Nothobranchius furzeri: one gene and its partners. The protein of the gene in region 2 interacts with the protein of the main gene of each other region in a biochemical or structural test. Links are inferred from orthologs where the notes say so. Each region holds a gene or a part of one and is shown on either strand. Other genes may lie near its edges. The genes, in order: BTB/POZ domain-containing protein kctd15, tfap2a and eps15.

Region 1 (3,653 bases), on a different chromosome or scaffold from region 2:
AGTTACCTGGACGGAGTTGAGCCTGCAGTAGCCGTTGAGGGGGAAGCGGATGACGTGCGTTGGGTCCTGGTTCCAGCCAGCGTTGACGGAGTTACACATGACATCTCCAGTCTCGGGGAAGATCTCCTCTATGAGGACCTTCTCGCCGCTCAGGGCGATCCTCTCGCCAAGGTCGGGCGTGACCCGGACCACCAAGCAGTCGCAGGGCTGCGCCATCCTCCGCTGCTCGCGCTCCTGCTTCCAGCGCTCCAGCTCCTTGATCATGGGCGTCAGCTGGTAGTAGCGGGCCTCCTCGTAGAGCAGGTGGAAGTCCTGAGCAGACGGCCGAGAGCGGAGAGGAGAGCGGTGAGTTAACAGGAACAAGCACCGGTTAGGTCTGAACTCTGGATAAAGCATCTCAGGACTGTTTTGTCACTCCTCCACCAGTGGCCCTCTGTCGTTTGACCTTTCTACAGGAGTGAGAAAGCAGTTGGGCAGCACAGGTATGCATGGAGGAGCTAATAACTGACTGCAGTCATGGATCAGTGAACTACGACATCCTTTTGAAAGAATATCGTCCGATTTCCTTCTGTTAGAGAACCAAACCTTTGCTATAGGAGAGTATCATTACATCATGCGGTGATGTCAGCGGCGTCGGTGTTAAATGCGTATCTCAGCTGTTTGAATCGTGTTTCTGTGTAGAAGCTGGAGAGAGAGTCCTGAACACTCTGTTCAGAGAAAGAGCGAGGGACTGACAAGCTAACGGCTAGTCAGAGACCGAAGTGTGTGGCTGTGTCCAAAAACGTCCCAATCTTCATTCCAGCTTTCATTTCTCACTTATAGTGGGATTTGTCTTTAAAATGAATCAACCGGACAAGAAAATTCCCTCCGATGAATTTACCACGTGATTCTGTTCCTGTTTTAAGTTTCAAAGAGTTTTTAAATCTGCATGACTGATGCCGAGCTGGTTCCTCCTAATCCAAGTGACATCATGTTTCCCGTGTCTTCATGCACAACAAGCCCAATAGAGACGTTTTTATGCAAATCTAAAACAAATGAAAGCGATTTCTGTGAGTCTGTCGCCACCAAAAGCATCCAAACAGGTTAAAAACCACTAAAGTGTACCGTATTTTAACTGCGGTTCTGATTCATTTAGTGGTCTGGAGACATTTGTAAAGCTTTAAACGTGCATTTTTATTTAGCAATCATCTGTAAATCATCAGAAATGACATCTGGTCTTTTGTGCATATTTATGTATTTAGCAGACGCTTTTGTCCAAAGCGACTTACAGGTGATAATCAAGCCATCCGGCTGCCCTTGAGGCTAACAACAAACACCATTCAGTCAGTCAGGCAGCATAATCAATCACAGAGGGAAGCGAACACGGAGTGGGGACGGGTGCTGGGAGGGTCCTAGTTTAGAAGAGCCGAGTCTTCAGGAGTTTCTTGAAAATCAACATGGACTTTATTTAGACTTTGATTAAAGCAAAGAAATAAAAAGAGTAAAGTCAGTACAGCAGTAAAATCTTAAAGAGCAAGTCACCCCCAAATCAACTTTTTTCCTGATAAACTTTATAAATGTGTGTCTAATTGTGCTGCAGACACGTGTAGTCAGTAGTTTTGCACTTTAGTGCATTTTAGTTCATTTTCTGCCTAAAACGGTCAGTGTTGTGCCGTTGTCAGGTAAAAACTCTGCACTGCATTTAAATTTAAATGTCATCGCTATTGGCTAAGAGGTACCCTAGAAAGTTAGCTGGTACCATATGATGTCACAAAGTCGTTGTGAGCCTCTGTGTGTGTGTATTTGTCAGTGGCTCCGCCCTCTCGGTCTGCTAGGCAAAGCATTTGTTGCATTTTTCAAACAGGAAGTGGGAGTTGAGTTATACTCTGGTAGGGGGTGACTTGCTCTTTAATTTTTCTGACTAAATAATCCCATAACATGGAGGCTGCTGGAGATGAAAATGTTTACAAAATAACATCACATTAAGAATGCGGCTGATTTAAGATGGCAGCAACGTGAACTATGTTTCTCTAAACTGAGGCTGTTCAGGAATTATTTATAATTTTTGTTTTACACAAAAAACACTTAAAACGTCAAAAAGTTTCATTTTCTGATCATTTTTATTTAAATAAAAACAAATGCTAGTAAAATAAAGATAAGACCGCTCACAAAAGGACAAATAATAATAACAACAACAACAATAATGATAAGCTGTGAGGGCCAATGACCTGCAGGACAACACTCCCCATAAACGCCACGCCGCACCTCTCCTCCACCGTGGCTCTTCGCTCGGCTTTGCTAGCCTTTAGCATGTTTTAGCGAGCCGGCTCTCTGAGGGCCGTCGGTGGGGCTCCAGTGGAGTGGGATGGTGCATTCCTGTGTGCAGCAGATTGCCTGCCTCTCACTCCCGGGCAGGGCTTGCTGGGGGCCATTTGCCCCCGTACGCCTGCCTCTAATTTCCCACAAGACCAGATGGCACCATCATTCACCGCTACCACGGAAAACACAGAGAGGAGGGAGATATGTGCACGCGAACATGAGGACAATCATCAGAAAAGGAGTTTTTTTATGTATTCCTCATATGGGTGGGGGGTTGTGTTAATGAGGCTTGTGGCTCGATGTTAAGCTCCTATTAGAACGAGATCTAATTAAGTTACACCTAAACACTGCAAATCTTTTTGCTAAACAATCAGTAATTATTACAGCCGTGTTCTGATTAGTGTTTCACAAAGACAAAGAATGACAGCTTAATCCTCTGCGATTATAAACGGTCACTTTAACATATTTGTGGTGATTTAAATGTAGCCGAGCTCCTGGTTGTAGATTTTCTAAGCATAAAGAGAGAAGTTGGGATAAACTGGTCTCTGAATGTGTTTTTTAAAGGTGCAGTATGTAAGAATATAGTGAGAATTTCACAAAAGAGTCTAATGTTTCAGTCGTTTATGAAGGAAAGTTGCTGGATTGTCAGTTTTCTCCTTTCAAAACATAGGCAGGAGGGAAGTAACTAACGATGGGTACCGAATTCCATAGAACTGACTGAGCACCGATTCACGTCATTTGAAACGGCGCCTCATTTCGGTACCCGTCCTTCATAACGAGAACTTGCCTAGACAGCTGCGCATGCGCAAGAGCGTTATGTCGTCGGTCACTGCGAGCCAGTTGTAAACAGAGCAGCATGGTAGAAAGAACGCACGCTAAAGCTTGGGTCCACTTCACTAAATGTGATGGGTAACTGGGTGATGATGAAACCAGCGACAACGATCTAAGTGAGACATCCTCATCTTAATCTGCTCCGGTAGGTAAATAAAATGTTTAAGATAACGTTAGCTTGATATGTTAGCTTCCGTTTCGCTAATGATGCGTTCACTTTCTCCTCTGAACTCCGAATTTCCCACTGGAAGAACATGAACGCGCTCTAAAGTTTGGCTTCACTTTACTAAATGCGACGGGTGATTGGGTGAAGATGAAACCAGCGACAACGATCTAAGTGTGAGGCATCATCGTTTTAATCTGCTCCAGCAGCTAAATAAACTGTTTAAGATAACGTTAGCTTGATAAATTATTCCATTGCCACCATTGTTATCAGCTAATGGTGCGTTCACTTTCTCCTCGGAAATTCTAACTTCCCAGTAGGAAAAATCAAATGAAAAAAGACGGCAAAAGGAATGAAGATA
Region 2 (3,653 bases):
CAGCTCTGCATGCGAGCCAAATGGATTTATCCAGGAAAAAAGCATCTCGTCTGCTCGCAATAATTGCCTAATTTATTCTTTAATAGGCCCAAAACATAGATCTCCATAGGTCAGCGCGACGCATTTGCATGCAATACAAATCTTCGATGGAAAAGTAGAAAGCATGGGGAGCCATTAAAGGAGGAAGTAAAAAAATAATAAAACAAGGGATAGAGAAGGGCGAGAAATCTACTATATTCAGACTTGTATTAATGCAGGGTGCAATCAATCGACTCCTCATCCATGAGGTGAAAGAGCTCGGCGGTGGCCAATAAACAAGCAGCACTCAATAATTAACTGGACTTCAACACAAATTAATCCGGAGGATAAACTAGGCCAGCCTGGAAGTGCGCTCCTGAAAGAGGAAGCCAATAACGCAGCAGAGCCACAACCAGCACCTCTCTCTCTCTCTCTCTCTCTCTCTCTCTCTCTCTCTCTCTCTCTCTCTCTCTCTCTCTCTCTCTCTCTCTCTCTCTCTCTCTCTCTCTCTCTCTCTCTCTCTCTCACACACACACACACACACACACACATACACACACTCACTCTCACACACATACACACTCTCACACACATACACATCCTTCATGCTTTATTACTTGCGAGGCAAAGTCGGTCCACATTACACGGATGAGCGCATATGCTGATTTCCAACACAGAGGGAAAAAAGAGAGGGAGGAAAAGAGAGAGAGAGAAGGGATATATTTTTTTTAAGTATAGGATTTACGGCACCACGACTTACCTTCCACTAGTGACGTCAACAAGGTGACGTTGGCTGCCTTGCGTCTCCCCGCAGGTAGATTTAAGCCGATTTTATCCAACTTCTCCCTCAAGGATCTCCCTCCGTTCTTGGACTTGGCCCTGAGACGCAAAAACAAAGAAGAAATTCATTCATATGCAGGAATTCATCTAAATTTGACAGAAATATGATGGAAAAACAAAATTACAGCCAGAGAATTGACAAAAAAAATATGGATGGCTTTCATATTGAAGTTGAGACGTTCAAATCTGCACATGAGCAATAAATACGATCAAAATAGAGCCGCAGCCTGATTACCAGCGGACTTATAGCACAAAGTGAATAAATAAAGTCCTAGTTAATAGGCTGAGCTATTACTGGCTGCGTGTCTGCAGCACTTCAGTCGGCATTTCACTGGAGACCAATGTTTTCATGTGTAATGCCTTCACTGGGTCTGCAGAGCTGCTTGAAACAGACTAGGCCTACATTAATTTGAAAGGGGGGAGGGGGGTGTTAATATGGAATTTAACAGACCCCTCCTGCTCTAAATGCAGGAGCTAGGTGTCATGGTTGGTCGATTTTAATTATTCTTGATACAGAGGAGAGGAAAAAAGAGAGGGATGCGCGCTCACAGGCCGGAGGGAGAGCGCGTGCACGCAAACACAGGTGAAAGAAGATTTTTTTCTTTTTTTTTTTTTTTTGTGAAGTCAGACTCACCTCCTGAGCACCCCGCCCAGCAGAGAGGCGTTGAGGCACTCGGGCGGCGAGAGGCGTCTCTGCACCTCTGCCACCGTGACCTTGTACTTTGATGTGGAACTGAGGAGAGACAGGCGACCCGGAACCGAGCAGAACACCTCGTTTGGGTTAACCACCCCTCCGAAAAGACCGTCCTTATTTACGGGGATGGCGGAGACGCTGTTGTTCTTGGATAAAGACACCGGACCTATAGGACCGGGGGGAGGGAGGGGAGAGAGAGAGAGAGAGCGCGTGGTCAGTGAATTTCGTGCAATGCAGAGCCTTAAGTAAATGAAGAAGAACTTCTGCATCGATCACATAAATAATAATAACAATAACAACAATAACAATAACAACAACAATAATAACAATAATAATAATAATAATAAAATAAGTAATAATTTGGTGAGAACCAACAGCCTAAAAAAACATTTTTAAAAGCGCTCTTTTCAATAAAATCCACCTTTTTTGACTCATCGTCATTTTCCAGCAAAAACACCGTCGCCCGTGTGTGATTTCACACCGAGGTGGTGGGGGGTGGGGGTGGGGGGTTGTGAGGGAGGAGGGGAACGCGCAGTTGTGGCAGGCCGTTTTGGTGCGCAGTAACCGGAGACAAAGGGGGACTGTGCGCCTTTGGATAGATCACTTGTGACATTAATGGCTCAAGGGAGCCTAATAGAGACAATGGGAGCTAAACGAACTCTTGAGATTACTAATATAAGAAGCCAATTATCACGTGAATGTGCAGATGGGCTGAGTCTGAAAGAAAAAATTTAGAAATTTGGAAAAATTGCAGAAATTTTAGGAAAAAATAATATAGAAGAGAAGCAAAAATATATCCCAGGATCTTATTAATCTGAGCCTTTAAGAGTGTAAAAATCTAATCCATGGTAGATTTATTCATTAATAGATGAAAAAAAATTTAGTTCAAATTTCCCATTTTCGTATGCTCTCCTAAACGCTGCACAGAAATCCTGCACACACGCTCTGTCCAGCGGGTGACAGCTTCCATTTTACATTTATCCATGCTGCGTAATTGCGCATATTGCTTCCTAAAAAGTGTGCCCGGGTCGTCTCTGCGCGTCTTTGACCATCTATAGCTGAGGCCTCCAAAGCCCCAGCAGCTCCACTCATCTCCCTGCTGCGCCGAAACGCTGACAGTAAATTCCATCATCGGGGAGGAGAAGGAGGGAAAAAAGAGAAAAAGAAAAAGGTGCAGCCAGTTTGATGCACTTGGAAAGCATGTAATGAAAAATAGGCTGTGCTGCGTATTAGGATCAGTCAGGCATTACCACATTGCATCGAGCTCTTTGGAGCAGAATGGAAGTGTGTGTGTGTGTGTGTGTGTGTGTGTGTGTGTGTGTGTGTGTGTGTGTGTGTGTGTGTGTGTGTGTGTGTGTGTGTGTGTGAGAGAAGCTTGAAGAAAAAAATGCAAGATATCTCAGAGGAAATTGCTTACCTTTTTTAATTACAGTCTGGTCGGGAATGTGGATTCCTTGATCCTCAACAGGCTGTGACACAAATGCAAAAAAAGGTGCAATTTTAGCACGAATTACGCACAGAAACATGTGATTTTAAAGAGGTTGCACATGAACAAAGCGCTAAAGCAACAAGGAGCACAACCGAAAGGCCTTATTTATTTATTTACCTGCTGTTATAATTAATAAAGTATTATTATCCGAGTTTCCAGATCTGAACTAAGACTTAAATAAGGAAAGCACATCACCCCATAATCCTGACCTCCTTTTTGCAGATTGGCTCCCCTCACACGGAACTTCTCATCCAGATTGGTTAGTAATTACGGCGGTGCAGCCTATTAAAGGCCTATGAACTAATTAGAGAATTATAGCTGTTTGTTTCTGATTAAAAACTGGGGAGAAAATCTCAAAATGAGCGCGCGCGCTTGCGCTTATTGACGGACTCAGGGCTCATTCATTCATCAGGCGTCTTTAGCGATCGCAGAGGTCCCAAAACTCAATACAGCAAACTCAATTCTCTCGTTAGTGCGCTTTGCAAAGTGTCATGGTGTTATCGCTGTGCATGGAGAGGCTCAGCTTTTTGTTTCGGGGCCCTTAGAAATAAAAAAAATGTCTTTTAAAAAATCATTCTGGATAAGGAATTACGCATGGGTTTGTTTTACGTT
Region 3 (3,653 bases), on a different chromosome or scaffold from region 2:
GTGGATAAACCGTCAATGAAACTTTCACGCCACAACTCCGCCGCTCCCGGTTTCGGCTACATTGAGTGTGACTTCTCGTCTTCTGCGCATGCGGGTCTCTTTGGGGCTGTGAAGCGTTCACACTGGAGAAAGTTTGATGCCGCATGACCACATCATGACCTCCCATGCCTCAATGCTTCACGTCATCTTTAGTGCCAGGATAAGTTTTCAGCAGCAGATGGACTTGTTGTCTCTGTCGCCTTAGTAGTTGTCAGCATGTTACCAACTTACTATTCAAGATGATCAGTTTTGGTTCTCCATTCATGAAAACTGAAAGTGAGGAGTGAAAAATGGTATTCCAGCCCAAACACACACACACACACACACACACACACACACACACTGTATGATGAGGCTAGAAACGAAGGCCGGTGTCGGATCAAAATCAGAAAAATAAGAGGATGATACGTGTTTGCAGCTGCTTCAAATTTTGGCAGCAGCCGTTTGCCCCAAATAAGGACGTTAGTCACCGTAATTATAGCTAAGATCAGACGAGAGCAGACTCTAGAGTTCCTTCTGAAATATTATCTGATGAATTATACATCCTGATGTGTGGTGAGGGTGAGAATATAAAAGGAGAGAGTGGGTTTGACACTTTTATTTTTACCCTGTACTGATGTGGAAGCAGAGAATAGCTGCTGATCCGTTTGAGGTATTTTTAAACGAAGCGACTGGAAGTGAGGCAGAAACGAGAGCTTTGCCTTTGTCCAGAATATCGGTTCACACCGTTCTGTTATTTTATTTTTTTACCTTTTGCATTTTTAACAATTTTACTAACCTAAAACGTACCAGCTTCAGCAAACATGCGGATACAGGAAATAAAACACCTCCTTTGCCTTTATTTTAATATTGTTTTTATTTTTCTCACTCATCAAGGGGAAAACTCACAGCCCAGTCATTTCAGGGTTTCAAAAGTAGGACTGGATAAAATCTCTTGCTGTGTGAAGCGGTGAGGGTAAGAGGAAGAGCGGGTAGGGTTGCACACATGATGGATGTTTCTAGTTCGCTCTTCATGACTCATCTCTCCCTCTCTCTCTCGCTCTCTCTCTCTCTCGCTCTCTCCATCCCCATGCCTCCATCTGTTTCTCGCTTCTGATACCCCGCACATCTTTCTGCACAGGCACACACCGTCTTCCCAACCCTCATCGAGCCAACAGCAGTGCATCACAGAAGTCTTACATATACCTCGTTTTTATTCTACATTTTAAACATTTCCACACCACTGCCATTGATTTTGAAGCAGCTCCTTGATTTGGGAAGGTGTGATTTTTGGGGGCAGGATCATGGTGTTTGAGGGACGGGAGGTGACGGTGTTTGACAGAAGGGGTGAAGCAGCAGACACCTGGCTGTGGCTGGGTGGGGTGGGATTTCCGGGTCCAACCTGTCTGTCCAACATGGCTGAATACTTTTGTTTGCTGTGCTGGACCCCCAGAGAGAAGAGCTCTGTGGAAGAGGAGATCAAGGAAAACGAGGAGGCCATTCGACAACGCAGCAGCGAAGTGCAGGTAAGGTTACATTTTCTGTTGCTGCAGATAAAATTTGTGGTTGGGGTTGGTTGTCTGGCCAAAGCTTGAGCTTAACGTGTGTACGAAGCAAGACAAATTAAAACTATTCCAGAGATATACGTATGTGTTAAAGCTGTTGTTTACTTTAACCAAAATGGAGATGATGGAGGAGGTTAATGATGCTGTCAGTCTACAGTCTGGGATGCTGCTCTGAAATGTAGTTAACATGGCTCAGGTTGCTTTCCTCCTGTGGGCGTGTCTGTTTCCACAGAGGCTGATCGCCTCTATTTTAGGAGCTGCTCTGCTTTTGAGGTTCCAGTCTGGATGTGAGGAAGGATGGGAGGTCTGATACTGATGCGGCCCAACCCCTCCAGCTCTCATTCACTTCATATAGTCACGTATGCCCTAGTCAGAGATGATCCACAGATGCTTCACATAGTCAAGTGTAAAACCGACACTTGCCATGCACGATGAGGCATTAAAATAGTATAAATAATGAAACAAAGACGTGTGTGTTCAATCTTGTTCTGTTTTGGTCTGCTTGTTAAAAAAAAATCTCTCTGCATACTTATTATTTATTCTTTTAAATCTTGTTCTGTGTTTTTGTCTGAAGGACCTTCAGGATGAGGTGGCGAAGGAGAGCGAGGAGCTCCAGCGACTCCAGGCTCAGCGTCAGAAGGTCCAGGACGCTTTGGACGAGCTGGATCAGCAGAAGAGCTCGCTGGAGGAGCAGCTCAGCCACATCAGACAGCAAACTAGCCAAGAGACCAACCTTGTAGGGTTTTAGTTATTGTCACCTATTGCCTACTAAACCGGGGAGATTTTAGACTATTTTATAAATAAGTCAGAACTGATTTTTGTTGTTCCAGATCTCGTCGTTGCAGTCGAAGCACGAGGAGCAGGAACACAGGATAAGTCAGTACGAGGAGGAGCTCGTCCAGGCGCGAGAGGAGCTTCTGGCTCTGCAGGAGGAGAGCAGGAAACTGCAGGAGAAGGTTCAGGCTGCTCAGGAGCAACTCACGCCACTCCATGAGTCCGTCCGTGACTCCTTTACACAAGTTTCGCAGGTCAGGAACTCAAACGTGATTTCTTCGGTGTCGGCGGTCTCAACCTAAGACCAGCTGGGCCGTCTGACTGAAAAACAACTCATCTGATCTCTACATTTTCTAGTTTTCTTTATAATTATTATAAATCTGATTCTGTAGAGATGGAACTTTTTTATTGCCAGAGGTTAAATAAAATACACATTAAATCACCTCTTTTTTTTTTCCTTTTTCTCTTGGTTATTTTTAGGTTCAGCAGAAAGTCCAAGACCTTCAGGTGGAGGAGAGGTCCGTGACTGCACAGCTGAGCTGGAAGAGGGCTCTGGAGGACAGCTCTCCAGTCATGGTGAATGGCTCACCAGGCTCCACAGCAGAACCGGACCTCTTCCACGAGGACCAGCCGAAGAAGCTGAAGGAGGAGGAGCCAGCTGCTGCCTGCAGTCAGCAGAAAAAACACTCAGACAAGAAGGAGAAAGAAGGAGAAGAGAAGAAAGAAGAAGAGAATCCAAAGACTGTGGAGGAAGAAAAGCTGAAACCCGATGCCCTGGATCATCTCTACAATAGTTTTGCTTCCTGCGATTTGTACAACTGTCTGTCTAAGCCACAAGAGGGCGCTGTTGGGGTAATTACAAACTAAGAATTCATTACATTCACTGAAACGCCTATAAAATCAGGTAAACTCCTAAAGTTCAGCAAACAGACATTTCTGTTGTTGATTTTCAAAATTTTTCCTGCAGATTTAATTAAACTCTTTCTCACCTGAGACAATTTAACATTGTTGCTGCATTAAAATCAGCAGGGAAACGGCAGCTTTGCACCTGATGGTTCTTCAGAGATCAACGACGAAGATGATGATGATTCACCTAAAGGCAGCCCGCTAAAGGTCAGATTATTCACACTTCTATCTTCAACCCAGACGCTGAAGTTGATTATTCAAGACAGGATTCATAAAACATGTATAAACTGTAACTGTGAAGATTCTAGTCAGCACCATGTCACCTCCCTACAGGTGGAGTCCCCAGAGCCAGAGAGCAAACCAGAGCCAGCAGACTTGACAGAACCTGCC

The links.
Region 1: the proteins of tfap2a (region 2) and BTB/POZ domain-containing protein kctd15 form a complex in vitro, tested with the Homo sapiens proteins (2 studies listed by BioGRID, with this or other methods). The link is inferred for Nothobranchius furzeri from reciprocal best matches to the Homo sapiens genes TFAP2A and KCTD15.
Region 3: the proteins of tfap2a (region 2) and eps15 form a complex in vitro, tested with the Homo sapiens proteins (2 studies listed by BioGRID). The link is inferred for Nothobranchius furzeri from reciprocal best matches to the Homo sapiens genes TFAP2A and EPS15.

Annotation. Positions count from the first base shown.
Region 1 is NC_091749.1:70,105,749-70,109,401, reverse strand, and holds part of BTB/POZ domain-containing protein kctd15, read right to left. Parts: intron 313-3,653; coding exon 7-312; intron 1-6. UniProt on the Homo sapiens protein: During embryonic development, it is involved in neural crest formation. Inhibits AP2 transcriptional activity by interaction with its activation domain.
Region 2 is NC_091747.1:57,671,884-57,675,536, reverse strand, and holds part of tfap2a (transcription factor AP-2-alpha), read right to left. Parts: intron 3,022-3,653; coding exon 2,970-3,021; intron 1,719-2,969; coding exon 1,493-1,718; intron 898-1,492; coding exon 779-897; intron 1-778.
Region 3 is NC_091748.1:56,877,000-56,880,652, reverse strand, and holds part of eps15 (epidermal growth factor receptor substrate 15), read left to right. Parts: intron 1-1,471; coding exon 1,472-1,544; intron 1,545-2,157; coding exon 2,158-2,319; intron 2,320-2,413; coding exon 2,414-2,611; intron 2,612-2,837; coding exon 2,838-3,209; intron 3,210-3,383; coding exon 3,384-3,470; intron 3,471-3,596; coding exon 3,597-3,653. UniProt on the Homo sapiens protein: Involved in cell growth regulation. May be involved in the regulation of mitogenic signals and control of cell proliferation. Involved in the internalization of ligand-inducible receptors of the receptor tyrosine kinase (RTK) type, in particular EGFR.